6 linked regions of the Canis lupus familiaris genome follow. The protein of the gene in region 6 interacts with the protein of the main gene of each other region in a pairwise test. Links are inferred from orthologs where the notes say so. Each region holds a gene or a part of one and is shown on either strand. Other genes may lie near its edges.

What was found.
Region 1: the proteins of C14H1orf35 (region 6) and FXR2 interact in binary tests that used the Homo sapiens proteins (3 or more experiments, as listed by UniProt). The two-hybrid records come from large-scale screens. The link is inferred for Canis lupus familiaris from reciprocal best matches to the Homo sapiens genes C1orf35 and FXR2.
Region 2: the proteins of C14H1orf35 (region 6) and THAP1 interact in binary tests that used the Homo sapiens proteins (3 or more experiments, as listed by UniProt). The two-hybrid records come from large-scale screens. The link is inferred for Canis lupus familiaris from reciprocal best matches to the Homo sapiens genes C1orf35 and THAP1.
Region 3: the proteins of C14H1orf35 (region 6) and SRRM4 interact in binary tests that used the Homo sapiens proteins (3 or more experiments, as listed by UniProt). The link is inferred for Canis lupus familiaris from reciprocal best matches to the Homo sapiens genes C1orf35 and SRRM4.
Region 4: the proteins of C14H1orf35 (region 6) and DACH1 interact in binary tests that used the Homo sapiens proteins (3 or more experiments, as listed by UniProt). The two-hybrid records come from large-scale screens. The link is inferred for Canis lupus familiaris from reciprocal best matches to the Homo sapiens genes C1orf35 and DACH1.
Region 5: the proteins of C14H1orf35 (region 6) and SDCBP2 interact in binary tests that used the Homo sapiens proteins (3 or more experiments, as listed by UniProt). The two-hybrid records come from large-scale screens. The link is inferred for Canis lupus familiaris from reciprocal best matches to the Homo sapiens genes C1orf35 and SDCBP2.

The regions. Positions count from the first base shown.
Region 1 is NC_049226.1:32,722,448-32,726,954, reverse strand, and holds part of FXR2 (fragile X mental retardation syndrome-related protein 2), read left to right. Parts: intron 1-198; coding exon 199-270; intron 271-359; coding exon 360-508; intron 509-907; coding exon 908-1,001; intron 1,002-1,499; coding exon 1,500-1,616; intron 1,617-3,855; coding exon 3,856-4,026; intron 4,027-4,210; coding exon 4,211-4,289; intron 4,290-4,507. UniProt on the Homo sapiens protein: mRNA-binding protein that acts as a regulator of mRNAs translation and/or stability, and which is required for adult hippocampal neurogenesis. Specifically binds to AU-rich elements (AREs) in the 3'-UTR of target mRNAs.
Region 2 is NC_049237.1:23,673,206-23,678,512, forward strand, and holds the start of THAP1 (THAP domain-containing protein 1), read left to right. Parts: upstream 1-2,237; 5' UTR 2,238-2,913; coding exon 2,914-2,984; exon of another isoform or gene 2,985-3,069; intron 3,070-3,208; exon of another isoform or gene 3,209-3,464; intron 3,465-3,470; exon of another isoform or gene 3,471-3,895; coding exon of another isoform or gene 3,896-3,948; intron 3,949-5,307. UniProt on the Homo sapiens protein: DNA-binding transcription regulator that regulates endothelial cell proliferation and G1/S cell-cycle progression.
Region 3 is NC_049247.1:15,661,143-15,665,649, forward strand, and holds part of SRRM4 (serine/arginine repetitive matrix protein 4), read left to right. Parts: intron 1-878; coding exon 879-1,082; intron 1,083-1,822; coding exon 1,823-1,933; intron 1,934-2,524; coding exon 2,525-2,665; intron 2,666-4,309; coding exon 4,310-4,507. UniProt on the Homo sapiens protein: Splicing factor specifically required for neural cell differentiation.
Region 4 is NC_049243.1:25,837,197-25,841,703, forward strand, and holds part of DACH1 (dachshund homolog 1), read right to left. Parts: intron 1,675-4,507; coding exon 1,531-1,674; intron 980-1,530; coding exon 911-979; intron 1-910. UniProt on the Homo sapiens protein: Transcription factor that is involved in regulation of organogenesis. Seems to be a regulator of SIX1, SIX6 and probably SIX5.
Region 5 is NC_049245.1:20,193,913-20,198,298, forward strand, and holds part of SDCBP2 (syntenin-2), read left to right. Parts: intron 1-2,555; coding exon 2,556-2,714; intron 2,715-3,278; coding exon 3,279-3,454; intron 3,455-3,531; coding exon 3,532-3,703; intron 3,704-4,386.
Region 6 is NC_049235.1:507,855-512,878, forward strand, and holds C14H1orf35 (multiple myeloma tumor-associated protein 2), read left to right. Parts: upstream 1-1,647; 5' UTR 1,648-1,741; coding exon 1,742-1,835; intron 1,836-2,079; coding exon 2,080-2,230; intron 2,231-2,345; coding exon 2,346-2,391; intron 2,392-2,465; coding exon 2,466-2,548; intron 2,549-2,653; coding exon of another isoform or gene 2,654-2,726; intron 2,727-2,837; coding exon 2,838-2,926; intron 2,927-3,173; coding exon 3,174-3,308; intron 3,309-3,394; coding exon 3,395-3,675; 3' UTR 3,676-3,925; downstream 3,926-5,024. Other genes in the region: MRPL55 (39S ribosomal protein L55, mitochondrial), read left to right, coding at 1-69.

The sequences.
Region 1 (4,507 bases), on a different chromosome or scaffold from region 6:
TTCAGGGGAGTTACTTTCCCGTTATGGTGACAGCACCCTCTGGGCTTTTAATTAGCTCCTTCCTCGTGTCTCCTTTGTTGTGGTATAATGTGCTTCCCAGGGTCTGAAAGTTGCGTTCATGATGTTTTCATTTTTTAATTTTTTTTCGTTCGTGATGTTTTTAGCTGGGCCTCAGTATCTCTTTATTTTCGGCTCCAGGTTTATTCTCGAGCCAATGAGCAGGAACCTTGCGGCTGGTGGCTGGCCCGGGTGCGGATGATGAAGGGAGATGTGAGTGATGGGAAGCACGGACCATAGTCACAGAAAAGGGGGGGGACAGACGCTCAGGTCATCCACACTTGTTTCTTCCTTTCTGCCAGTTCTACGTCATCGAATACGCTGCCTGTGATGCCACTTACAATGAGATTGTCACCCTGGAACGGCTCCGGCCAGTTAATCCCAATCCCCTTGCAACCAAAGGCAGCTTCTTCAAGGTTACCATGGCTGTGCCTGAGGATCTGAGAGAGGCGTGAGTCAGGGACATCGGGATGGGGGCTCCGTTGACAGTCCTCCTGTTGGCCCACCTTTCTCCCAGGCCCCTCTTATTTTTGTTTATTTGTTTTTAAAGATTTATTTATTTATTTATGGGGTGGGGAGAGAGAGAGGCAGAGACACAGGCAGAGGGAGGAGCAGGCTCCATGCCGGGAGCCCGATGTGGGACTTGATCCCGGGGCTCCAGGACTGTGCCCTGGGCCAAAGGCAGGTGCCAAACCACTGAGCCACCCAGGGATCCCTCCCAGGCCCTTCTTGTACTGTCAGTCTTCCTCGTCCTCCCCCATCCTTCCTCATCTCATTTTTGTCATCCCCATCTCTCTGAACCTCTGAACTGCACACTGTGCCCACTGAGCACTATTCTCTTCCTTGGCAGCTGCTCCAATGAAAATGTCCATAAAGAGTTCAAGAAAGCGTTGGGAGCGAACTGCATCTTTCTCAACATCACAAATAGTGAGCTCTTCATTCTGGTGAGTTATTTGACCTGACTTAAAACGTAAACCCTCTCAGTGATTTTTTTTTTTTCCTCCCCTTTTAACTCCTTTGCAGAAAGGAAGGGGCTCAGATGTGCTTCTGTTTATTTGTCAAAGAAGACTTTTTGTATGGCTCCTGACCCCTGCGGGCCCAGGCCATGTTTCCTGAGTCTTCCCTCACGTATGACCTTAAGTTTTTTTTTTTTTTTAAGCCTGGCCATCCTTTTGCAGTCTGGACCTTCCCTTGCATATTTGGGCTCTGAAAAAATAGACTATACGATTCTCACCCCTCCCTCTGCCTAAAATCACTTCTCTTAGGTACCCTGATAATAGTAGGCCCTTGTGAAACTGATAGTGATTTTTCTCTTCTCTCATTTCATTTCTTAACTCCTGTCCTTTTCCAGAGACTGAGGCATCCTGGTTCCCAGTCCTGGGTCTTCCCCGTTGTGTATTCAAAGTCAGTTTCAATGATTTTGTCCATTGGTTTCTTCCCAGTCAACTACAGAAGCCCCTGTGAAGCGGGCGTCTCTACTGGGTGACATGCATTTTCGAAGCCTGCGCACCAAACTCCTGCTCATGTCCCGCAATGAGGAGGCTACCAAGCACCTGGAAGTAAGTTTAGGCCTCACTTCATACTGCTGAATGGTATTGTTATCATCCTGCCTTCCCATCCCATCCTCCCCCCATGCTCTTGTGTTTACAGAACAAAAAGACTAAGGTCTTTCTGGGCCATTAAACCTGGGTCTGCTATTTTTTCCCAGACTCCTCCAGATGGCAGAGCTTCATCATGTTATAATAGTACAGTTGTTTTCATTTTTTTCTTAACCATGGGACCCTTTGATCAAGTGAAGTTTTACTTGAAAACACAATGCCTAAAACAGATCAGAGAAGCTCTGCCTAAGTAGAAGAAGGGAGTGTGACCCGGACCTCCACTGGCCTCCCCCAGATCACCTCTGGGAATCAAACGGCTTTGCAGGGTCTATTTGAGAACCATTTGTATTCTGGAAGGACCACTGTCAAATATTGACCTTTGGCAAATCATTTGATTTCACTGAGCTTTATCTGTGTGACAATGAGGTGTTTAGACTAAAATATTTCAACAAGGTCTTTTTGAGTTCTGATATCTTAGGATGGTCAGATTCCCTTTGCTTAGGTGCCATACCATCCTATACAAATAGTGTGTGTGTGCACATCCATTCCGTTTATCAATAGAACTGATCTTTTTGGTAGGCTTTTCTCCGAGCCTGTGCACATTGTGAATCATAGTGGTCTGTCACTTCTCCAGGGATGCTACTCAGGGCACTGGCAGAACTTCACCATTACCCCCAGATGATACAAATTATGTCTGCTCAAGTTCCCAACGAGCAGATTCCCTGGTGACAAAAGGTAGACTTCAACTCTTCTTAGGACCTGGTTGTATTGATCAGTGTGGTAAAGAGTGCCAGATATGGGGCGCCTGGGTGGCTCAGTTGGTTGAGTGTCCAACTCTTGATTTTGGCTCAGGTCACGATCTCAGGGTTGTGAGATCGAGCCCTGAGTTGGGACTCCGTGCTCAGCACAGAGCCTGCTCAAGATTCTTTCTTTTCCTTTCCGCCCTCACTTTTTCTTTCTCTCAAATAAATAGTCTTTGAAAAAGATAGTTAAGTTGGCCGTACATGTAGTCTTGTTTTTGAGAGATCTTGTTTTTCTTCTTTTTTTCTGTTTTGTTTATTAAATTATCTTGAAATAATTGTCTGCATAAAGGAAAAACATAGTATATTAGGTACACTTGTACCCGTCAGGCAGTTTAAGAATAAAACTCTTGGCAAACTTCTAGAGAACATTTGTAAATCATCGTAGAGCCTCTCCTTTCCTCCCTAATGCAGTTATTTTGAATACCCAGCGTGGTCCCTTTTTGTCCATCCCCTTCTTGCCTGAGGTAAGTCCTTGCCATAATACAGTCCCACCCATCTTGGAAGTAGGATGTAGTGGACTGGGATCAGGAATGACCCCTTTCAAATAGCTTTCCTGTTTGGTGCTTCTACCTAGGACTTCCTCTTCCAGAACCTTCCATGTCTTTCTGCCCTTGTGCCCAGGTATCTGAGGACTGATGGAGAGAGGAAGTGGTAGTGTGGTTTCCATAGCTCTTTATATGCTTTCTCAGCCTCTTGCTTTCTACTCAGTTTTTTGGGTTTTATTTTGGGAGTTGATATTAGTTTGGTCAGAGTAATTGTTCCTTACTCTTACATTTACCTTGTGAAAGAGCCTTTCACACCAGCCTTAATTAATCCTTCTGATAGTCTGGGAGTGGGATGAGTCAGGTGGAACAGTTCAGCAGATGACAGAACAGAGACACTGAGTGTATTGTGTTTTTTTTTTTTTTTTTTTTTTTTAAAGATTTTACTTATTTATTCATGAGAGACGCAGAGAGAGAACCAGAGACACAGGCTGGGGGAGAAGCAGGCTCCCTGCAGGGAGCCCCATGTGGGACTTAATGCTAGGACCCCAGAATCACGCCCTGAGTTGAAGGCTCAACCGCTAAGCCACCCAGGTGCCCCGAGGGTGTGTTGTGTTTAGCGTCACATAACCAGATAGTGTCAGAGCCAAATCCTGAACTGTGGTGGCTCCCAGCCCAAACCCTGCCCTCGTTTACCTCCCTCACCCCCACCCCAAGCCATTGGTGTTCGCCAGGTAGGAGTGGAATGGCTGGTTCCTGAATTCTCCATACAGGTCCCAGGGGTCTGTGGATCCAAGGTGGTTCTGGCTTGCTTTCACATATTTTTGTCTGCTTAAGTCCTGCAGAGTGTTAGGGACCCGGGACAGGTGTCTGGGGTTCCGCTGCCACAAACCCCACTGTGCCTTTTCATTTCAGACAAGTAAGCAGTTGGCGGCGGCCTTCCAGGAGGAGTTCACGGTGCGAGAGGACCTGATGGGACTGGCAATTGGGACTCATGGTGCCAACATCCAGCAGGCCCGAAAAGTACCTGGGGTTACTGCCATTGAGTTGGGTGAAGAGACCTGCACTTTCCGCATCTATGGGGAGGTCAGCAAAAGACAGCTGCTCTTTAGGTCCCTTGGGGGTCGAGAGAGGAGAGTGTGTGATGAAAAAGAAATCTGAATCCTGTGGATCTCCCTCCTTGACTTTGGTGGCAGTGCACTTTCCCAAAGGCAGAGAGTGGCAGGAAAATGAGTGTCTGGGTAACAACTCCCTACTCCTCTCCCTGTAGACTCCTGAGGCGTGTCGACAGGCCCGAAGCTACCTTGAGTTTTCTGAGGACTCTGTGCAAGTGCCCAGGAACCTTGTTGGTAAGTTGAGGGTGTGTACGTGTAGGAGAGAGTACAGGGTGGGAGGAGGGAGATTCCCAAAAGCTGTTCTGGGCTCAGCACCTCAGTTTTCACAAGGAAACTTCAGTCTGTCATAGGAGTGACAAGAACGGAAGAACAGGGCAGCCCTGGTGGCTCAGCAGTTTAGCGCCGCCTTCAGCCCAGGGTGTGATCCTGGAGACCTGGGATTGAGTCCCACA
Region 2 (5,307 bases), on a different chromosome or scaffold from region 6:
CTTGCTCACCAGTATATTCCCAGACCTAGCATAATGTCTGCCATTTGCTCAATAAATGTAAATAAAGAAATGGAAGGGAAGAAAAGGAGAGAAGACAAGATCACTTCTTATTCCTTATTCCCAGCCAGGTTAAGCCACCATCCTCTCTCACCTACACTGCCATAGAAGCCTGCCTATCAGTCTCTCTGCCTCTAAGTACCCCCTGCTATCTATACTCAACACAGCAAAGTGATGGTTTTAAAAGACTGGATCATTTCTCTGCGTAAACCATGTTCTCCATCTCAGAGTAAAAGTCAAAGTCCTTACGCTAGCTTACAGGTCCCTACATGACCTCAGCCTGTTTCCTCTGACTTTATTATTTGTCCCCCCAGCTCACTCTGCTCCAGTCACACGGGCCCCTTTACTGTTCTTTGTACAGGCTGGGGACACTGAGCCTCAAGAGTTTTACCTTAGCCATTCCCTCTGCCTGTAAGACTCTTCCCCCAGATATATTTCTAGCTAACTCTTACCCATTCCAAATTTTGGCTCAGTAGTCTCTACTAAGCCTGTCCTATCCTTTGTATTTAAAATTGCAACCTCCTCACCCCCACATAGCCCCTTTCACCTTTTAACATGTCATATGGTTTTATGTTCTTTGTCTGCCCCCTCCAACCTCCACTAGACTATTACCTCCGTGAAGGCAGAAATCTTTGTCTTGTTCATTTATGTATCTCAAGTCCCTAGAACTGTGCATAGAACATAGCAAATGCTGAGTAAATATCTGCTGAATCAGCTGATGAGTCAATTTCAGTGAACTCTTAGTTAAAATATACTTTTCAGTTCACAAGCAGCTATCACACTTTTTTTTAAAGATTTTATTTTATTTGTTCATTAGAGGCAGAGAGAGAGAGAGGCAGAGACATAGGCAGAGAGAGATGCAGGCTCCCCTCAGGAAGCTTGATGGATCTCTGAACTCCAGGATCATGCCCTGAGACAAAAGCAGAGCTTAACTGCTGAGCCATCCAGGCATCCCTATCACATTCTCATCCTTATTGCATGCACAGTAAACCACAGAAGAAATTTCTGTCTATCCCTGGAAATGCTAATAAACTATTATTTTAGTATTTGGTGAAAGGATATGGCTCTGAAATTCCTCAAGTTTTCTGGGCCCAGTTGATTTAACAAACATTTTCTAGATACTTAATGCCAGACACTGCAAGCTGCTGGGGTTACAAGGCTAAGACAAAGTCCTCCTCAACAGGGCCTCAGTCCATGAAGTGGGACAACCATACAGTAACGTATGGTTCATATACAGAGAGGTTAAACGCAAAGTTTTCGTTGGAACAAGAGAGGTGCCTAAGTTGAGAGGCTTAAGAAAAAGAGGATAGAGAAAGCATGTTAGAAAACATAACACCTGAGCCACATCTTGAAGGTGGACAGGTCAGTGAGAGGCATTTCAGCCTAAGGGCAAACAGGCTATTTATGGAAGCCAGGAGAATGCCTGCCCTGTGTGAAACATGATGGTAGGAAAGAGTTAAAGACAAGTGGATGGAGAATACAGTGAAAAGGTAGAAGTAGCCGGTCCTCAAGGGCTTTATGACACTATCGAGTAGAGGCAGCTTTTGAAGATGTGAACAGGTGTATGACAATTACCTTCTGTGGAGGATAGACTGGAGAGGCAAAACGAGACCTCGGACAGTCAGAGGCTGTTGCATGGTTAAGAGAACGCGAGAGGGCCTGATCAAGAACAACGAGGAGAGGAGGGATGGATTTAACAAGTATTTACTTACTTTATAAACTTATCCTGGTCATCAAACAGATGTAGAGAGTGGGAAAGAAATCTAAGGTTTCCGGTTTAAGCAACTGAACACATAATTCACAGAGGATAATCGAAGGCAGAAAAATTTACATAAGAAATAGAAGACCATTAGGAAATCAGAGCGTTTTATTGAACTCAAGCAGCAGGGTGTTAAGGAGGAGGAGGGCGGAGGATGGAACCCTGGGGAACCACGAGGACTGAGGCGGGGGTAGGCAGAAAGAGTACAATAGAGCCGTGGAATTCGTCACCAGCCTGCGCTGCAGACTCGCAGGCCCCGACCTGCAGACGGGAGGGCACGCCGCCGGAGGCAAGCGGACGGACCCACCCGCGCAGCTCGCGATCCCACCCGGCACCTGCGGGGCACTACCGCTACGCCCTCCGGCGGGAGCGAGTGTCCGCTCGCACTGCCACAGTTCAGGCGCCTGCGCCCTCAGAGCCTTGTGACACCTGCAGGGCAGGTAATGAATGGGATGAAGCCTGGCGATGTGGGCAAGGGTCCACAGAGTTTCACAGATCATATTCCATCTGTGGCTGCCCTTTGAGAGAAACGGGAAGAGCTACCCAAAGGCCTCACCCTCATACCTGCCCTCCTCTACGCCACCACACCCAAAGACCCCGCTGCTCTCCACCCCGCATCGTCCCAGATAAACTAACACACGGGGCCAAGCAGGTGGCGGAGTCTAGCCCCGCGCTCACGGTTCCGTCCCCTCCCCTCGCCTCTCCGCTACTCCCAAAACACTTCCTCTCCCTCTTCCGGAAGCTCGGAGGCCCCACCCACTACCGCAACGCCTGGCCTTAGCCAATGGCCTGCTTCCCAAGGAACGTTACCTCTGACCTCGGGGCTCATCAGACAGTGGGACAAACTCCTCGCGAGAGGTGAGGTTGAAGCTGCCTCCGCCATCTTGGAGATGGGAGACGGGCGATGGCTGTGGTCCTTCTGCTAATGCAAACAACAAAACGGGCACAGTAGTCAATGCGGGGGAGCTTATCATCACAGAAACTGTTGACCAAAGCTACAGAAGGAGTGAGGGTGTCAAAGCGCAGCGCAGCGGCATCGATAGCCGCTTCTCCTGCTTGCGGGAGCGGCAGAAGTGAAGTGAGTGGAGGCCGGAAGGATGGTGCAGTCCTGTTCCGCCTACGGCTGCAAGAACCGGTACGATAAGGATAAGCCCGTTTCTTTCCACAAGTAAGTACCCCGCGCGTCTCGCGGGGCTGGCCCAGCTCGGGCTGGGGGCGAGCGGCCGGTTAGGCTCGGGGGCGGGGCCAGCTTGCGTGCGCGCGAGCCCGGATGAGGGGCGGGGTGGGGCAGGGGCGGGGCCAGCGCGTGTGCGCGCGAGCCCTGATAAGTGGGGCGGGGCGGGGCGGGGCGGGGCGGGGCGGGGCGGGGCCAGCGGGTGTGCGCGCGAGCCTCGACGAGGGGCCGGGGCAGGCCGGTCCTCCTCGCGGTCCCTAGTCCCCCGTCCCCCGTCCCCCGTCCGCCGGGCGGCGGGTGTACCCGCCTGGGTCGGAGCTCTCGTGCTGCCGCCTCCGGCTGCGCGTGGCTGCCATGGCCGTTTCTTGCGCTCGAGAGTCGGAATCCACGCTCGGGGTTCGTCCGCCGCCTGCCGTGGACGTGTCGGCGCCCCAGGAGCGGCGTCCGTGGGCGCCGCGCGAGCCTCTGCTCGGGGTAAGAGGGCAGCGAGGGCGTAGTAGCGCCTCCTGAGTCAGTACGGAGCCGAGACAGAGGCTGTGAACGTGACGGAGCCGCTCTTTTCCCAGCCTTGGCGTGCCTGGGAGGCCAGCTTCACAGCAGCTCAGGCTTTCGGGGAGGACGTGTGCACTCAGTGCCTAGGGGCCCACCTCGGGGCACCTCTGGCTGTTGGAGGGAGCCTCTGGGACGGCCAGGACCTCAGTTGGCGCGCAGCGATGGGGTCCCAGGTCCGCACAGCTGGCTCGCCCCCGAGGAAGCCCACAGGTCCCGGGGCCGTGATGGCTTTGGCGGCTAGAGAGGCCTGTGGGAGAAACGACCTCGTGATCATCGGATGTCTGCAAAGTGGGACTCGATGGCATTTTCATTCCGCCAAATAAAGTGTTTACAGACTTTACGTTATTATAAATATGATTATTTACATTATTATTACCAAACCGATGGCAAATTATAGCAATTATACGTAAGTAAATCATTACAAAAGCAAAATTTAAGTATTCCGTCAGTTTTTTTGGTGGGGTCGTGTGTAACAGGGGATGTGGGTGCATTTTATGCTTAGTAGAAGAGGGACCCAGGGAAATGAGTGCCTTACCACGCAGATCTGAGTGTTGATTGATGGACCACCACCACCATCCCCATCCTGCCCTCCACCTGCAGGACGACTGAGAGCACCTAACACTCCAGGATCTACTTCAGTATATCCTGAGATCACTTCTTTATTTGTTGGAATTTCTGAAAGCTGATGAATTGACTTCCAGTTCTTTGAAAGTGTAGGAATAGATCAGAAGACGGTGACACTGTTATGTTACAGCCAGCTCTGCACAACCCCGTTTCTAATCAAAGAATCTAAAAATGTGGAAAACCCTTCATTGGTACTAGAAACTAAGGATGGCGTTCACACATCAGAAATAGTTTCTGCTGGCTGTCAAATGATTGGGTCAAAGGAGGAGCTGATCTGCCTCTCCTTCTTACCTATAAAGAACAATTTTTTGGAAATAGATGGGAATTATTCTCACAGAACTCCATCATGAACAGCCTGATCATTGTAGTGTGTAAGACAGGAGGCCCAAGGGGCTGAATTTTACTGGTGATGGCTACCATCTGTTGTATTTCTGGAGGCCATTTCCAGCAGAGATCTTCTACCACTTTCTACATGGTGGCCCAGTGGCAGCAGCTGTTCTGGGCAAAGAAAAGAACTGTCCCAAAGATTGGTTAGTTCTTCATGATAGCAGAGTCCAGCTCTGGCATACCTTATGTAGAAGAGAAGCTAGAACATGGAGTTGAAGCATCCTTTGGCTTTCCAGTTTCCCCATTTCACTAGATACTTGACTTGGAAAAGTAAAATCACAGTAAATATAAACCCTTTCTAAGCCCACTTTTCTGGGCCAGATGGACATATTCCAGTTGATTTCGAGGTAAAATAAGATCAATAATATTCTTATGCTGGAATTAAAAACAAATCAGAAGACTAAAATAAATTAAAACTTTTATTTTTTTAAATTAAAAAAATTGGGCAGCCCCGGTGGCTCAGTGGTTTAGTGCCGCCTTCAGTCTGGGACGTGATTTGGAGACCTGGGATCGAGTCCCACGTTGGGCTCCCCACATGGAGCCTGCTTCTCGCTCTGCCTGTGTCTCTGCCTCTGTGTCTCTTGTGAATAAGTAAATTAAAATCTTTTTAAAAAATAAATTTAAAAAATTTTAATTTATCTATTCACGAAAGGCAGAGACCTATAGGCAGAGGGGTAAGGGGGCTCCCTGCAGGGAGCCCAATGCAGGACTAGATCCCAAGGACCCCAGGATCACAACCTGAGCTGAAGGCAGA
Region 3 (4,507 bases), on a different chromosome or scaffold from region 6:
AGTGCCAAGAGGTGAAACTGGAGGGGTAAGCGGGGCCAGATAATGATGAGCCTGGAAACCATATTAACATGATTGGAACTTGACTCTTGGCTCAAACCAAATGAACAGGTCCTTACTGAGAACTCAACGTGAGCTTCACATGGCTCTAAGCAGGGTGGGAATACAGAGGACAGGATCCTGTCATTGGGTGATTTTGAACAACCGTTCACTCTTTTTGGGTCCCAATTCCCCCATCTGCAAAATGGGCTACATCAAAGCTTCCCAAACTTGAACCACCTGTATGGCCCCTTGTTGATTTTAATCACATCCCTATACTACTGATATTATTTTAATAAACTCACTTTTTTATATAAGGAAACTTACATTACTACCTTACATAGAAAATTTGTAGCACTTGTCCTAAATAGAAAGCATTTGCAAAATACATGATTTATATATGAAAATACATAAAGACAGTGTATTTAATTCTAGTTAGCAACAGTTGCCTTCCCAAGGCTCTGAGCACCATGTCTGGGTGACTGCCAGTATTACAGAGATAGTGGAAAACCCACTACTACCCAACCCATTCTCATTAATGTAACCAGGATTAAAAAAGACTCCAAAGGAAATAAATGTCTATGTGATTTGGTGTTATTTACCATTATGCCCACTGACCTAAAATCCTCTGAAGTGCCCTTGTGGAATGTGTTCCCCTCTGTTCCTATTCCTCTAACATCTGTGCTCTGGAAAGTCTTTCCAGAGGCAGTAAGATGGGAATAGGTGGAAAGGGGTTTCTGAGAGTACCACAGCCTAGGCAAAGGTAGGCAGAGGAGTATCAGCAGATGCCTCCAGATCGGCAGGCAAGCCAGTGCTGACAGGAGTTCTCCCCACATCTGCAGAGGATTTCAGTCGCCATGCCTGGAATGTGCAGAGGTGAAGAAGTCTGGTTTGGTCCCATCCACAGCCCGGAGCTCCCCTATGAGAGGTTGCTCCCGCAGCCCTTCTTATGCCAGCACCCGCTCTTCCAGCCACTCCTCCCGATCCCCAAACCCCAGAGTCTCCCCCAGGTACACCCGAAGCCGATCCACCTCCTCTGGAAAAAGGTGAGTGCAGTTTTGGCCTCTGATCTGCAGAGCTTTCCTCCTTAGGGAGCTAGTTATGGTAACTGGAAATGTCCTTTGGCCCTGGTGGGGGGCGGGGGGGGAGGTCAGACAGATGAGTTTGAATGCCCACTGTACCCATTCCTAGCTGGTGGCTCAGATAACCTCTCTGAGCCTCAGTTTCCTTATCTGCAAAATGAAAACATTCACCTCTCAGTGTCTTTGTTTCCCAATCTGTGGAATGAGATTGATAATAGTACCTCGCCCTACAATGTGTTGAGGATTCAATGAGATAATGCACACAAAGCATTAATTCAATGAAATACCTAACAGCCTAACAGTCATAGCTAACCTTTCCTGTGTGCTGCCTATGTGAGGTATGTAAGTGATTTACTCATTGAATTTACAACTGTATAGGGAAAGTATGATTATTTATCCCCATTTTATAGATGAGAAAACAGAGGCTCAGAGAGGTGAGATCACCTGTCCAAAGTCACATAACTAGTAAGTGGCCTTAGATGGTAAGAACTCAGTAAGGAGGAGTTACCAATATTATTATTAGTCGCCCAAAAGAGAGGGAATTTCATTCTCAGGAAAGGGCCAGATTCCTGGGTCTGGCGTCCAGAAAGTCAAAGTCGCCCTCGGGGGACCAGCCGCATACAACCCTACCCCTGCGGGACGACCCCGGCACGGCCCCGGCGAAGCCCAGCAGGCCCTCGGGGACTGTTTACCGTGTCCCGCAGGTCCTACTCGCGCTCTTCCAGCTACTCCTCCAAGTCTGGCAAGAGGAGCCCGCCGAGCAGAAGCTCGCGATCGCGCCGCAGCCCCAGCTACTCGCGGTACAGCCCCGGCAGGTACAGCCCCGCCCCCAAGCCCGGGCTCCGCCTTCGCGGCCCCTCCCCCCGGCCTCTGCGCAGCGTCACCCAAGCCCCGCCCCAGCTCCCCCTTTGTCCAGCCTTGAGGGAGTAGGGATGGGGAGACCACCCAGCATCCTCGTAGTTTCTTTGGTCTCGGCTGGAGTGGAGACGTGTAACATATCCTGGGGTTCTAACGGCCCCCCTGGAAAGTACAGCCAGCCACACCCCAGAATTCGCATCCCCGGCCCTCAGCCTCTTCACGCACCTAATATTACCCTTGATCCCCGTTATTCAGAGCCGCAGTTGTTACGCATGCACCAGGGCCCTCTGGACCGCCACATCCTAACCCCGCAGCACCTAGGCCCCTGTAACGCCCACCCTCGAAGGCCGACACCCGCGCCCACGCCTGGTCTCCCCACAATACTGAACCAGAGCCCTGTCCTACTCCCCACCGCGTTCCCTGGGGCCCCGGGAGGAACCCAGCACCTGCTGCAATGAGGTGCGGGGCGCAGGGAAGAGGAAGTGAGTGCCCCTGGCTCATGCGGAAAAGCCAGCCCCGGCTCCCCAGTGACCCCCGCACCCCTTCAGGGAGCGGGACCCCAAGTACAATGAGAAGGACTCGCAGCAGCGGGAGCGCGAGCGAGCACGTCGGAGACGGCGGTCCTACTCGCCCATGCGCAAGCGCCGGAGAGACTCCCCGAGCCACCTGGAGGCGCGGAGGATAACCAGGTGAGGCCAGGAGGGCCGGGGTGCCCACCTTCACCCTCACTCCCACCCCTCCCACCCGTCGGGGCCTCGGGATCTCCCCTGCACCCCGTGGAGCTGGATTTCAGGATTGTGGGAGCTCAGGCAATTTGCGAGGCCTGACAGGAGAGGTCAGGGCCTCGGGGCGGGGCTAGGATGGGTGCCCCGGGACAGGGGTGGGGACAGCCTGAGGAGGGGGTGTGGCCGGGGTCTGCGGAGAGGGCTGCGAGGTCGCATCCCGGGCGAAGGGGGCAAAGCAGCGGGACCGGTCTTTTCCTGGGGGTGGAGCCGGCCAGCGAAGACGGATCACGGTCAGACCACATGCCAGGCTTTAATAGGCCCTGATCATAGCTGGCACCAAGTGTGGAGAGGGCAAGAAGGATCTTTAGGTGCCAAAGGAATTTAGAGGGAGCCTCGGTGGGCCAGGGGGAGAGCACTGGATCTGGAGTGGAACCCGGCTGTGCCACTTTCCTGGTAAGCTGGAGAAGTCTCTTCACCTCCCAGATTCTCAGTTCTCATCCATGAATATTTCCTTCAGGAGTGTGTATCATGAAGATGAAAAAAAAGGGGGGGCAAAGAGATGGGAACACACTTTGTAAACTGAAATGCAAAACACTAGAACCCTCGCTGTGTCATTGTTACAGATTGAATGGTCAGATTAGGTGGATCAGGTTGCCTCTAACAGTTAAGGTCTTAGATAAGAAAAGCCCTACAAAAAAAACCTGAGGTCTGAATGGACACATAGTTTTAGGCCTTGAAAGCAGGAAGAATGGCTGAGTGCTGTCCTGAAATTGGCTCCGGACAATCAGCTCCTCCTGGCCCTCCAAGGGTCAGCCATTCCATCCAGGGACTCACAGGAATGGAGCTTCGATGTCCTGGCTGCCCTGGGCCTCCTCCCTAGAGATGACCTGGAGGAGGGAAAAGCACTTGTGACTCCAAACAATAAGAATGGGGGCAATGGCATCACCTTCTCGGATATCCCATAGAACAGCACGGCACACACGAAGGGAGTCCTACTCCCACAGCATGGACCACAGGTGCCATTGGGGTGGACTTAGAAGAAGGCTGAGATAAACTGGCATTTCTAAAAGGCTCTCGTCTCCTGAGTCAACCTCAGATAATCCATCCTGATGAGCCATTCAGTGTTTCCCAAACTTTAGGCATCCAGCGGCATCCGAGCACTTTGCACTTACCTGTTTAGTAAGCTACTGTTGTTGACCTTTCTTTACACAGATATGTTCTTTCTTAGAGGTCCATACATTTAATGCAAAAGGAATGCACCACAGTATACCATAGCAAATGGAAGATCAGCCTCTCTTACCATAAATAGAAGGTTCCAGTAAAAGTAAAAAGAGATAAACAAAACGTGCAATTAAAGTCTAGATGTAGATTCGGTTGCCAGCTGGAGACTCCCAGCCTCAGGCTTGCTTGGCTCTCAAGTGAGAGCTGTCACTTCTCGAGACACCAGCACTAGATGGTCTCAGGACAGCAGGAGGAGCGCGCAAAAGGGTGTTTTCCCCAAGAGCCTGGGATGGAGGAAGGAGTCCGCTTCCCCTGGGGACGGCGGGCGCGCTCGGGGGGAGGCTGGGCGGTCTGGTCCGTCCAGCGCGCTCCCTCTGGTCTCCGCAGTGCCCGGAAACGCCCCATCCCCTACTACCGGCCCAGCCCCTCATCATCCAGCAGCCTCAGCAGCACCTCCTCCTGGTACAGCAGCAGCAGCAGCCGCTCTGCCAGCCGCAGCTACACCCGGAGCCGCAGCCGGAGCCGCAGCCGCAGCCGCAGCCGCAGCCGGAGCCGCAGCCGCAGCCGCAGCCGGAGCAGGACCCG
Region 4 (4,507 bases), on a different chromosome or scaffold from region 6:
AAAAGTATGTTTCCTTTACACTAAACCAAAGATGACACTTTTGGAGCTGATTAAGTAGCACAATTAATGTCAAACAATATCCCCAAAATGATTGAGCTTAAAATGCAAAATAAAAGCAATTGGGAGGATTATAGCAGTTAATCATTTTAGGCTTCCCTTTGAAGAACCATCTTCATTTAAAATAGAAAACAAATGCTCTTTTTACTGTTTAGTATTCATGTTGTTAGACTGAGTTTATTGCCTAGAATAGATGTTAGACCATAAATGTTACCTTCAGATTTTGTTCTTTCCTAATAGTATGGTCTAGGCAATATACATATTTAGCTCTTCTGAGTGTTTAATACAACTCCCTTTAGTATTCTATATATGATTTTGCTCAGCAGATTTGTGTTATTAAAATGTATATAATGGCATACAGAACATTCAGAAAATCCACAGAGGACTAAACAATCTTATTTATTGTTAACATTGAACCAGTCTATTTTGCATGTACCTTGCAGTATCTGTCACAAAAATGAGAAGGAGAAATTTTCGAATTTAAGAACTACCGATTTGATTAACCCATGCTTTTATTCAGACGGTGGAGAACTTATAAACCCTTCCTGCGTGAGATTGGGCTTCAAGCATTCAATAAAGCACATTTACTGTGTCCAAGATTAAATCATACATTGTTTAAAATTAATTATTCCTTTTTAATTGCATTGTATAAACAGAAATGACCTGTTAATTTAAAGAAAATCTATCAGCACAAAATGAATTCACTCATATAAACAAGCAAGATGAACTTGACCTTGTTTGAACTTGTTTTGATGTGGCCCAGATGGTAGGCTACATGCTTGAATAGCAGGCTAAAGCTGAGGAAAAACTCATATAGCAAGATCTAGATTTATAGCCTTTTGCAAATTCCTACCTTGTATTGTCCTTTCAGCATCTGTTCTGCTGCCACTGCGGTCAGCTTCTATCTCTGGGGTCAGAGAGTCTAAAAGCACAGAAAGGTAAGAGGGACACATATTTCATTTGATGCTTTTGTCCTTTAAAAAAAAGAGCAACCTGTTACTTTGGAGCTGAATTAAAATTACATAAATCTTTGTCATCTTTTAAAGGTTGAACAAAGACCAGAACCATAAGAATCATCAAAATATTTGAATAGATAAATAAGTAACGCCAAATTGTTCCTAACACGGGATGGAGCTGGGAAGTTCTCAGATTAATATTTTATCCTCTTTCAGTACAGACAGACCCAGTTATGCAGGAAAGCCGTGTCAGGTCCCAGATACTGGAGTGAAGTACAACAGGCCAGGTGAAAGCACCTGGGAAGTCAAGCAATTCCCCAACATGCGGGATCACTTCCCACCAGGCTTACAGTTTAAAGAATCACTAGGGATAAAGATGTATGTAAAACCACAAACACAATGTAATGAATCAACAGATATACGAATATATGTGAAACCACAAACACAGGTTTACATTGTCTTTTGAGTGCTAAAAAGTTAATGTCAGTGAGCCGTGCATGAAGATGCACCCTCTTACCATTTAAGACTCTGAGACTATCTGTCGAAGCTGCCTGTTTCAGCGTTTGTTCTGCTTGCTCACGCCGTTTTGTCTCAAATTCAAGTGCTTCCTGCAATTTTCTCTTTGCCTTCTTCTCCTTCTTTAGCCTCTTTTGAACTATGGCTAGAAAAGAGTGTTTGTATATTACATTTTTAAAAGTTTTTTGCAATGCCCTAACTTATCAATGATCTATGATTTTATATATATATATTTATATAAAAAAATATATATAAACATATATTTTTTTTTTCCTGCTGGACTGAGTCTACCTATGCAGAAGTTCCAAAAAAAAAAAAAAATCCCACCCTTATCTAAAATAAATCCCAGTGAAATATCCAAGGAGGCTAATTTTTATTTAGCCTTCAACCACTGTTATATTACAAAGATGCCTTTGATTGTCATATGTAGAGACAGATTTAAGGGGAAACTAATTTTAGTAAATATTTATATGCACTGATAAAGGAAGCCTGATTAAATGAATTTTGTGGGTTAGTCTCTGCCCTTGAATCAGAATGGTACATAATAGTTAGAATCATGCCAGCCTTTATAAGCATGCCTTCTATCTCTTTATGAAGCACCAATTTTGAATAGCAAATGGAGTATTTCCCCTGTAGTTGTTTTGCAAAACAGTTACATTGGTCCAGGTCTTAAGAATTTTTTTCTTGAAATTTTAAAAAAGGCAATAAATATTTTTGTATATGAGGAGCTAAATACTCTTAATTATCAACATAGAAGTAGTCTTTTGGGGGTGATGAAGCTATTGTAATTTGCTCAGAGATATCGATAATTTCTTCAAAGCAATTTTATATGCACTATAACATATTTCAAGAAAATCATGTTTTATTCTGCTTCAATCTGGTGGACTATAAAACCTCACTGATGATAATAATGTGCTATTGCTGACAATGATGTGGTATTTATATTTAAAAAAGTAGCTTATGACACAAAAAGTTAATTATGATACATTTTCTCCTACTGGACAATTTAAATATTTGTATATAGTATGTAACCAATAACTAGTAACAAATGTTCACAAAATGTATGGTTGACCATACTTTCAGTATGATAATTATTTTAGTTTTTACAATTTATATAAGGTAAGCAGCCAGTCTATGGAGAGCATGCAAATGTTTCTTTTTGGAATTTTTTTCTTCTGGTTGATAAACACTGTAGATGTGAATGTGACTGTGACAGAATCGGTATGAGAAAATCCTTTTAGAATTAGTCATAGGGAATAGTCATTCAGAGTTTACTACTTGATTTCTTACTACAACATTTTTATTTAATACAGTATTTAGTCAAAATATAAATCAAAGTAATAAAGATTCAAGTAAGAATTTGTTTCAGTTTCTGACTTTCATATGCCCCATTTTTATAATTATTAATACCATTAAGGTGGCAGACCATTAACTTGTTGAGTTTATTGTTGCCGGTAACATATATTAGCAGAGGCTGTTTTTTATCAAAACATACATTGGTTACAGTCTTGTAACAAAACAAAACTGGTTTTGAATAAATGCTAATTTCCTTTACTTAATATGAAAATCGTATGCTTATCTCAACAACATCATTTGCCTACTCTATCCCTTTCCAAAGATGATTGGTTATAAGTCTCTTTGAAAAGAAACAGTAATTTCTGAATTCCTTATTTGAATTGTTGTACTTCCATGGCACTAAAACTCAATACCTAGTCCCTTGCCATTGACTGCTTACTGTTTCCTGCTCCGCAATTGAACCTGGTATTGCCATATTCTCTCTTCAGGGTAATACACTGCTTCAATGGATACATTTATAATAGATAATTATTGATAGCTATTACCTTTAATTTATTGTTCACAATTAATTAAATGGGAAGTTCATGATGTGATCTGTGAAGTGTTTTGCCCTCTAGTGGTTAAAAAAAAAATTAATGTAAGTCCTCCAAAAGATTTGAACCAATAAAATTCTAAAGTTCTCTCAAGTAACCAAAAGATTACTTCAGGAATTCAAGGGTCTACTTTTATGTCTTGTCAAAAAACAAAAACAAAATTTCTCCAGGTGAGAACAAAATCAAGAATCAAGACATGGCTATCTCATTGAATTCTATTTAACAAACTCTTGGACAAATCTTCATTATTCACACAAAATACATCCCATTATCAGTGTTTATCTTGTTTTGATTACTATACTGCCTTAATCTATGTGAAACCACATTATATGCCATATATTGGTGGTGATGGCTTTTCTAAATCAGCCTCATCCCAGGAACCCACTAGCTGTTGCCTCATAGTAACTAATGAAAAAACCTACTACTGGTTTGAAAAACAAAGCAGAAACAATGATTTTCAAATGACTGTATCAAACATATAAAAGAACACCTGGGATATTTATATTGGATACTTATTAAATGAGGGAGTAGGTGCTCCCCCCTGGAGTACTTACGAGAATCTTATTGTTGAGGCAAAGGGAAAGTTGGTTGTAAAGGAAATACTCTTAATCTCACACATAATATAAACTCACAAATATGAATGACCTTCAAAATTATCTATACATGCACTGTAAAATGTGTTAGAAGAAGCAATTCATAGATTAGTGATATCATTGTTTTTACCCAATAAAAATTCATATTGGCTTCTACACTAATGTGTATTTGACCTTGTTGGATGAAAATGAGGCATCCAGAAAGAAAATTATACAAACACTCAACTTTGGTCATTTGTTCAGATATTCATCAGTCTTCAATTTCAGTTGATAAATATCTTACTATATCTGCTTCGCTTGAATAATCAGTATTTTCTATTTTAGCTTTATGACTTTAACTTTTAAGTTTTTCAAAGGGCAATTGTGAATGAATATAAGATTTTTCTTCATGGCTGTCATCAGAGCTCATTCTTACAATTATTTGTTAAGCTCTATGAGCAATAAAAACTATGTGATTAATTATATAATAGACATATTTCAATTCCCTGAGGTATGA
Region 5 (4,386 bases), on a different chromosome or scaffold from region 6:
CACACACACACACACACACACACACACAGCCACTGGCAGATGAGGGTCTGACAGGAGAAAGGCCACCAGGAAGGGGACACGTGGGGCCTGGGGTGTTTCCCCACAATAACCCCCCATAGTCATGCTGTGAAATACAAACTTCGAAGCAAAGAAAGTCCCATGGTGTATACTTCCCTTGTCAGCCTTTGACTGAATTTCTCTTCGTTCCAATAATGAGGACGTGAGTGCATTTCACTGAAATGTTGATACAAATATGACAGGTGGATTCATTTTTATAGCTAAAAGTTTTATTTTTAACTTTTTATTTTTCAATAATCATGAACTCCTGGGAAGCCACAAAGACAGTATAGAGAAGGGCACAGAAAGCTGTACCCTCCAGCGAGTGTTCCTAATGGTTATGCAGGAAGTGGCTGCAGAACCACAGGATAAGGAAAACGGGCATTTTACGTTGGTACAGTGAGCGTCTGTAGTCCTGTGTCACTTTGTCACCTGTATAGATAGACTCATGTAAGTACCAGTGCAACCAAGGCACGAACTGTTTCGTCCCCACAAAGGTCTCCCCCAGGCCGGCCCTTCGTGGTCATGCCCACTCTCTCCCCCTGACCATCCCTAACCCCCTGGCCACCACTAGTCTGTTCTCTGCCTCCATGATTTTGTTTCAGAATGTTATATAAATGGAATCCTACTGCGTGTAGCCTTTTCAGATTGGCTTTTTCCACTCAGCATAATGCCCTTGAAACCTTTCCAGGTTATTCACTGTATTAATAGCTCATCTCATTTTATTTGCTTATTTGTTTGTTTTTATTTCATTTTATTTTAATTCCAGTATAGTTAACTTTCAGTGTTATATTAGTTTTAGGTGTATAATACAGTGATTTAACAATTCCATACATCACCTGCATCCTTAATCCCCATCAATGCCCCCCCCCACCCCCCGCTCCCTTAGTTCATCCCCTTGCATTGCTAAGTAGCAGTCCGTGGTATGGACATCCCAAAGACTTTTGAATCCATTGAGAGTCATTTTAGTTTTTTCCAGTTTGGGGCTGTTACAAAGTAAGTTACTATGGATATTTTTGTATAGTTCTTTTGTACAGACATAAGTTTTCATTTCTCTGGGATAAATGTCCAAGAGTACAGTTGCTAGGTTGTATGATAAATGCATGTTTGAATCTTGAAAAGAAACTGCCAAACTATTTTAAGAGTGGCTCTGCTGCTTTATTTTCTTGCCAGCGACACTCTTCCAGTTTCTTCCCATCTTTGCCAGCTTCTCACTAACGTTCACTGTTATGATAAGTGTGTCATGATGTCTCATCAGGGTCTTAATTTGCATTTCCCTCACGGCTAGTGATGTTCAATGTCCTTCCATGTGCTGTTTACCAGCTATGATTTTTTTCAGTAAAATGCTCTTCGTATGTTTTGTTCATTTTCTCAATGGATAGTTTGTTTTTCTTTTCTTTCTTTTTAAAAAATATTTTATTTATTTATTCATGAGAGACACAGACACAGGCAGAGGGAGCAGGGAGCCTGATGTGGGACTTGATACCAGGACCCTGGGATCACGCCCTGACCCAAAGCAGACGCTCAACCACTGAGCCACCCAGGTGTCCCTCCTTTGTCTTTTCATATAAAGTTTAGATTAACCTTGCCTACATCTACAAGACATCTTGTAAAGATTTGGATAGAAATGGCATTGAATCTTTATGTCAATTTGGGGCAATTGATGGCTTTATTATGTTCTTCTAATTCATGAATAGAAAATTCCTTTCCATTTATTTAAATATTTTTTGATATCTTTAATCAGCCACTTTTTTGTTTTTGTTTTCAGTATGCAAGTCCTACATATGTTTTGTACACCTACTCCTATGTTTTATTTTTGAGTAATTATAGTTGGTAGTGTACTTTTAATTTCAGTTTCCATGTGTATGCTGTTAGTGTATAAAAAGTACAGTTGATTTTTGTGTGTTGATCTTGTATCCTGTGACCTTGCTGAAGTCACTTAGTTTTAAGAGTTTATTTGTAGATTCCTGGGAATATCCTAGTAAATCATCCTATCATCTGCAAATAGGGACCATTTTATTTCTTTTACAGTCTGTATGCCTTTTATTTCCTTTTCTTACTTTATTGCTCTGGGTAGTTATTCCAGTACCACATTTAAGAGTAGTGGTGAGAGTGACATCCTGACTTGTTCTGGGCTTTACGGGGAAAGCACTCGTTTTTATACTTTTTGCTTACATTTTTTTTCAAGACAAAACAAATCAAGTCCTTTTTCCCCCTAATTGCTTGCTATTTGCTGTGAAATTTTATTTTTAATTGGATTTCGAAGGGGTCTTCTCCTGACACCAAAATGAGGGTTTCTTTTCTGTATACCCATTCTCTTTCCCCTCATTTTCCTGGCTGTTTTTCAGGGGGTATAGGCTTTGATGCCTCCTAGTGGCTTCACGGAGCCATGCACCCTAACAGGCCCTGAGAGAGGAGTGTGATCTGGGGATGGGAGAGGGCCCAGGGACCACTGCATCCTTCTTTCCCCATCCTTATGAGACCCCTGGTGTCTGCAGATGGTGGGCTCTGGCCTGTCACTGGGCCAGCTGGTGGCACCGCTGTCTGGAAACAGCCTTGGCACACGGCGAGCAGAGATCAAGCCTGGGGTGCGCGAGATCTACCTGTGCAAAGATGAGCATGGCAAGACGGGGCTACGGCTGAGGGCCATTGACCAGGTAGGGCTGAGGACTGGGCAGGAGAGGAGGGGGCATCTCCCACACGTATTGCCCACCAGCCTGGGAGGGGGGCTGCGGGCCCTGTCCACAGTAAGGAAGGTGCGGAGCAAGCAGGGGAGCCAAGGCTTACCCAGCCTCAAGCGGAGGCTCTTCTTCTCAACCTCCCTCCCCTAAGGCCCCAGGGTCAGTGCTGGGTTCTAGAATGGACCTTCCACTTGTGCCTCCTGGGCTCCTACCATTCGGGGTCTCTCTTCCTCCCTCTCCTCCATCAGAGGGATCTGGCTTCCAGGCAGCTCAGCTGTCTGCAGAAGGTGGAAGCCGGCGGGACCAGTGCCGTCGTAAGAAGCCATGCAGTCCAGGGGCTGGGGCTGCAGCCTCCAGCCAGGGTTGAGATCTTACCCAGCTGCTCCCTGGCTATGTGGCCTGGAGTATTTTGTCCCCAGGAAAATGGAGTGACCGCTGTCCTGCCAGCTCCTAGACGATCAGGAGGCAAACAGCAGCCGGAGGGACCTGGGCTCCGAGTGATGTGATGGGGAGCTGACCACAGGGCCCTGCCTCCTCCAGGGGCTCTTTGTGCAGCTGGTGAAGGCCAACAGCCCCGCGTCTCTTGTGGGGCTGCGCTTTGGGGATCAGATCCTGCAGATTGACGGCCGAGACTGTGCCGGGTGGAGCACGGACCGAGCGCACCGGGTGCTGAAGAGGGCATCGGCAGAGAAGATCGCCATGGTCGTTCGGGACAGGTGAGTGGCCAGGCCCCCGGTGCCTCCCTGTCTGGCCCCAGGCACGTCTAGGCCCGGCTCACGGTCTCTCCCGCCAGGCCGTTCCAGCGCACTGTCACCATGCACAAGGACAGCACGGGCCACGTCGGCTTTGTCATCAAGAAAGGCGCGGTGGTCTCTGTGGTCAGAGGGAGTTCCGCGGCCCGCAACGGGCTCCTCACCAAGCAGTCCGTGTGCGAGGTGAACGGACAGAATGTGGTCGGGCTGAAGGTAGGTGCGCTCGGCCGCGGAGCTCAGGCGCTGAGAGGCGGGCAGGCCGCCGTGCCCCTGAGGCTCGGATCCCCGCGCTCTGGTTGCTGTGGGCTAAGCCGAGGGAGGTGGAGCTCTGAGCTCAGCGCCCAGCACCCGAGCGCGGGGCAGTGCTCAGGGAGCAGGAGGCCGAGGAGAGCGGGGCAGGCGGTGCGTCCAGGCAGGGGGTGCGTCAGGACAGGGCGCCCGGGAGGGGGCTGCTGCTTGCATGGATACCTGCCCCCTCCACGGCACTTCTGTTTGCATAACTGGCTCACATTCCATAATAGGAACATCTTGGAAAATGGCTGTTCAGAGACACACTTCTTCTTTTTTTTTTTTTTTTAGATTTTTAAAAAAGATTTCATTTATTTATTCACGAGAGAGAGAGAGAGGCAGAGACACAGGCAGAGGGAGAAGTAGGCTCCATGCAGGGAGCCTGACGTGGGACCGGGTCTCCAGGATCATGCCCTGGGCTGAAGCAGGCGCTAAACCACGGAGCCACCCAGGGATCCCCCAGAAACACACTTTCTGACCTCTGTTCATCTTTGGAGGGTGTGTGTGTTTTATCCTTAAAAAGCCAGAAGGAGCAAGGGGTCCAGGGTCTAGCGGATGTGGACTGAGCAGTGGGCGCCTTCAGGCACCGGACCTCAGAGGATGATGAG
Region 6 (5,024 bases):
AAGGAGGAGCCAGAGCTCTATGATGACTTTGACGTGGAGCGGTACAAGCAGTTTTGGACAAAAAAATGACCAGGCCTGGAAGTGTCCTTAAACCGTGTGTTCTCGAAGCTGCCTCCACCTGGCCTTTCCTTCCCGCACGCTCGAGTCTGTTGTGAGCTCTCTGCGACCCAGTGGGCTAGGTGGCTAAGGATTGGGTCAGGCTGTGGTGTTCAGACGAGGTCTGAAGGGAGTGCCCGTGTGGGAGGAGGAAGGAGAGGGCCCTGGAGCCCCTCACTCCCTGACCAGCTGCAGCCTCAGGGGCCAGGGGCCCTCAAGAAGAGAGTGGGAGGAGCAGGGTGTCAGGGATGCTGGTACGGGCTGTCAGTGGACTGGCCCACAAAGGGAGGTGCCTTCAGCTGGGCTTGTGGCCCCTGTGACTACAACAAACCTGTGGTCGGCTGCCATTCTTCTGCTCCAGTGGTGGGTTTCAGCCTGGCCAGGCTTCTGCAAGACCAAAAGGCCAAGTCCCAACATTTCCACTTGTCGCTGGCCTGGCCCAGGCCTGCCTCTTGCCCTGGCCTGGGCTGTCAGGACTCTTGGAAACCTGAGTGAGTGCCCACCGTAGGGCACTGATACAAAAGGTGGGGAAGGTGCCCACGTTCTATGGGAGGGGGCTGTGTCTGGGCTCCTGGCGAAGGGTGCTGCATTAAGCACCCACCTTTGGACTCCTAAGTCCCTGGTGGTCCACTGAGTTTCCTGGCCACGCGCAGGGTCCTGGGAACATCCAACGGCATTGTCTGCCCTTCCCTTGAAGTGGGGTCACAGCAACGATGCAGGGGTCAACAGCAGAGCAGAGGGTGAGCGGGGCAGGGACAAGTGGGACTTGTAGCCACAAGGCAGGGTGGGTGCTGGTGACGGAAATCACTAAGAGGGCCCCCCCCCGCCCCAGGCAGGGGGTTCTGGCAGAAACCACCTACTGAGATTGCTGCTGGTGGGCCTGGCAAGACCTCCACTAACGCACGGGCACCTGCTTAGCTTCTGAAGGGGGCCGGAGGTGGCAGGCTCTTCACCACAGCGGGTGACACGGTGAAGTGGACGGAAGGCCCAGGCCCGTCTGCAGCGCTCTGGTCAGTGGAGGTCCCATCTGCACCAGGTGTTCCTGTGTGTGGGCCCCCGACCCCCGCTCCGCAGGACCTCGCCGCCGCCCACGTGGGGGGCTTCACACACTGTCCATGCCGCTGCTCCCCCGTGTCCAGGGCTCGGAGCTGATCCTGCTTTGCCCAGCACAGCCGCCCCCCGCGGCGCCAGAGGAGCCCGTGCATTGGCGCACCTGCGCCGTCCCGCCTGCCCTCCACGCTGGGGTCTCCAGGGGACGGCCCCGGGAGTTGCAGGCCGTGTCCCGCTTCTCCGGAGCCGAGCCGCCCCCGGTGCCCGCTCCCGGCACTGCGGCCCCACCCGCTCGCCCATCTCCCGGCACAGCCCCAGGACCGTCGCCCGCACAATGTGGCTCCCAACGCCGGCAGGATCCTCGGGACCCGCCTTGGCGCCTACGCCCGCTCCCTTCCCGGGCGGTGCGCCTAGCGCTGGGGGCAGGCGGGGCGGCGGGGCCGGGGAGCAATGCGCAGGCGCTTGCGGCGCTGCCCGGGTATGCGCGAGTGTGACGTCAAGGCGCGCGACGCGGCGGCGGGACCCCGGCGCCGGCGCCGCCCGGGGCGGCCAGGCCAGGGTTGACGGAGGCAGGGGCGGCGGGCGGCCTGGCACCATGTTCGGCTCCAGCCGGGGCGGCGTGCGTGGCGGGCAGGACCAGTTCAGCTGGGAGGACGTGAAGACCGACAAACAGAGAGAGAACTACCTGGGTCAGTGCGGCGCCGGGCCCGGGGGCGGGGGGGGCGGGGGCGGGGGGGCGGGGGAGGACGCCCGAGCTGCCGTGCGCGGTGCCGCAGGTGCGGGAAAGCGGGGTTGCGAGGTTCTCGGTGTGGGCAGCCGGGGGCGCGGGGGCGGGGAAGGAGAGGGCGCGAGGTGCGGGAAAGGGGGGCTGCGGGCGTGGGAAGGCGGGGAGCGGCGACCAGCGGGCCGAGCAGTCGCGCTGCGTCCCCGCAGGCAACTCGCTGATGGCCCCCGTGGGCCGCTGGCAGAAGGGCCGAGACCTCACTTGGTACGCCAAGGGCCGGGCGGACGGCGCGGGACTGAGCCGGGAGGAGGAGCTGGCGGCCGTGCGGCAGGCGGAGCAGGAGGCACTCATGGCGGCGCTGTGAGTGGGCCCCGCGGGGTCGGGGGAGCTCGGGGGGCCCGGGGGCGAGGCGGGGTCCGAGGGGCAAGGCCAGGGACTCCGGCCGCCGCCTGAAGCTCGCCCGCGGCCCCCACAGAGGCTACAAGAACGTGAGGAAGCAGCCCACTGGCCTGAGCAAGGAGGTGAGCGGCGCACGGGGGGCGGGGCGCCCGGAGTCTGTGCGAACCCCCGCCTGAGACCCGCTGGCTCCGCACAGGACTTTGTGGAGGTCTGCAAGCGAGAAGGAGGGGAGCATGAGGAGAAGGGAGTGGACCGGCTGCTGGGCCTAGGGAGCTCCAGGTGCGTGGCTGGGGGGTGGAAGGGGCCCTCCCCAGGTGGACGCACCGCCCCGCCGAGGGAGGCCTGGGCCTTCTCACCGTGGGGTCCTCGCCTGCCTTCCCGCAGCGGCTCTGCAGGCCGAGTGGCACTGTCCCGGGAAGACAAGGAGGCCGCCAAGCTGGGGCTGTCGGTGTTCACGGTAAACCCCCCTCTGCGGGCGGGGCACCCCAGAATCGGGCGGGCGCCGAAACTGGGACGCCCCCCCACAGCCCCCTAGAGTGCCTTCCTTCCTTGCTCCTTCCCTCCCCAGCACCACCGCGTGGAGAGCAGCCGCCCAGGGGCCTCCCCCACCTCTGCTAGGAAGAAGCCTCGGTTTGAGGAGGAGAAGGTGCAGCCTGGGTAAGGGCTGCTCCCACCCCTTGGTCCCAGGCCCACCTGCTGGGCTCCCCCAAGGGGGAGGCAAGGTGCACTCCCACCCCTGCTTTTCCTCCCTGGATGGGGAAGCAGGGCGCCTTCCTACCTCTGCTGCTCCTGGCAGTTTCCTGCCACAACGGGAAGGAAGGACCGCTGTACCCACTGGCCACAGGGAGGGGGGGGTGTGTCTGTGTGGACAGTGCACAGGGGACGCCACCCCACGTCCCTGCAGCCTGGAGAGCCACAGGAAGAGCAGGAAAGAGAAGAAGAAGAAGAAGAAGAGGAAGAAGAAGCACAAGAAAGAGAAGAAGAAAGACAAGGCACACAGGAGCAGGGTGGCTTCTCCACTGTCTCCAGCTCCTGCAAGGTAGGTGTGCTCAGCCTTGCCGGGGCAGAGGGAAGGTCTGGGGAGCAGGGCAGCCTCCCCCTGACCACATGTCCCCATATCCCCAGGCCGGGGCACCACCAGTGCGGCTCTGACTCTGAAGATTCCTTGCCCTGCTCCAAGAGGCGACGCAGCCACCACAGTGACTGAGGCCAGATCACAAGGGGCCCCCATGTCCAGCAGGGGACCTGCCCCGGGAGGACACACTTGCCTGGGAAGGCCCCGAGACACTTCTATTTTTCTTCAACTCACTTTGTACTTAAATAAACTTATTTTAAGGGGAAAGCCTCTCATCCTTGAGGGAAGGTGGCTGTCATGTCCCAGTAAAGTTCCAGCAAGACCAGCCTGAGACCCTGCTGGTAGGGCGGGGAGGGGGGGGGGGGGCGGGCTCTCCCTGGGTTACCATGTCCAACCCCAGGGCACAGACGTGCACCTGGAGCCAGCAGTGTGCCCCACCCCTGGGAGGTGAGCACCTAGTCATTAAACCCTCCTATTACAGCCTGCCTGCAGGGAGGATGAAACCCAGGGTGCACTCATGATTGTGAAACTGGCATCTTTGGCTTTAAGTCATCAAACTAAAAACGATTCTGTCTTCATAACCCTGGCCCTGGTGTTTCAACCTGGTAGTGGTATAAACAATCTTGGGCGGGGGCCAGACTGGGCGCCCCCAGCCAGGAGAAGGAACCAGACCAGCATGCCCAGTCAGGTGGGAGGGATGGTCTCCAGCCAAAGAGCCACTAGGAGCCCTGCCAGGGGTTTCCTACCCCTCAGGAGCAGGCTGGCTAGCAGGGATGGGCGTGGACAAGAGCAGGCCTCGGGCACACCCAGTGTGGTGACCCTGCTGTCCCTCCACGTCCCAGTCCCACAGAATAGACCAGGGGCTGCACTAACAGTCAGCGGGTGGACGATGAGAGGGCGCTGGGTCATATGCACACCTAACACAGGGAGCAGTGAGCCACACCATGTAGGTCCCTAGCCAGTGACATCCTCTGTGCACAGTGGTAAGTGTGGGTCAGTGGCACCCAAGCACTGGAAAGCCATGAAATAGTTAAGAGATTTTATTCTAGTAGCTATAATTACAGTGCTTGTTTGTCGAAATGAAAACTGAAAACAAGTATACAAAACAGTTGATTACTAATCGTGTATTGAAAGCAGTAAGAGGTTCCACGACACCAAATAAACCAGTTCTGAGAACTTCCCCAAGATAAAGTTGAACAGCTCCAGCTTCTTCAGTGTTTATCAAAATACAAAAGAAAACAGTAGAGGTCGTTGTTTTGATGGCAAATCTGACCCTTGCAGGCTGAGGGAGTGAAAGCACATGTAGACCAGGGCTCCCGGGGCTCGGGGCTGAGGTGCTGGGATGACTGGCCTGCCCGCCCGCACTCCTGCTGGTGAGACCCCAGGCAGCCCAGAGGAAGCCAGAGTGCCCACACTGCCCCCAGGGAGGCCGGGGTCCCTCCAAGGGGTCCGTGAGCAGTGATGCAGCCCCCAGCCCATCTCCTGGGTGGCCGTATAAGCACAAGTACAAGCACAAATGCTAGGGGATACAGGATGACCCGAGACAAGAGCGATCACAGGGACCCTATTGTGACCATGCAGAATGGACCGTGGCTGGTTCTGCCCTGTCTCACGTTCCCGATGGGAAATGGCCCACTGGTGGACTGGACTCTGGCCGCCACTGCAGAACCTACACTAGGC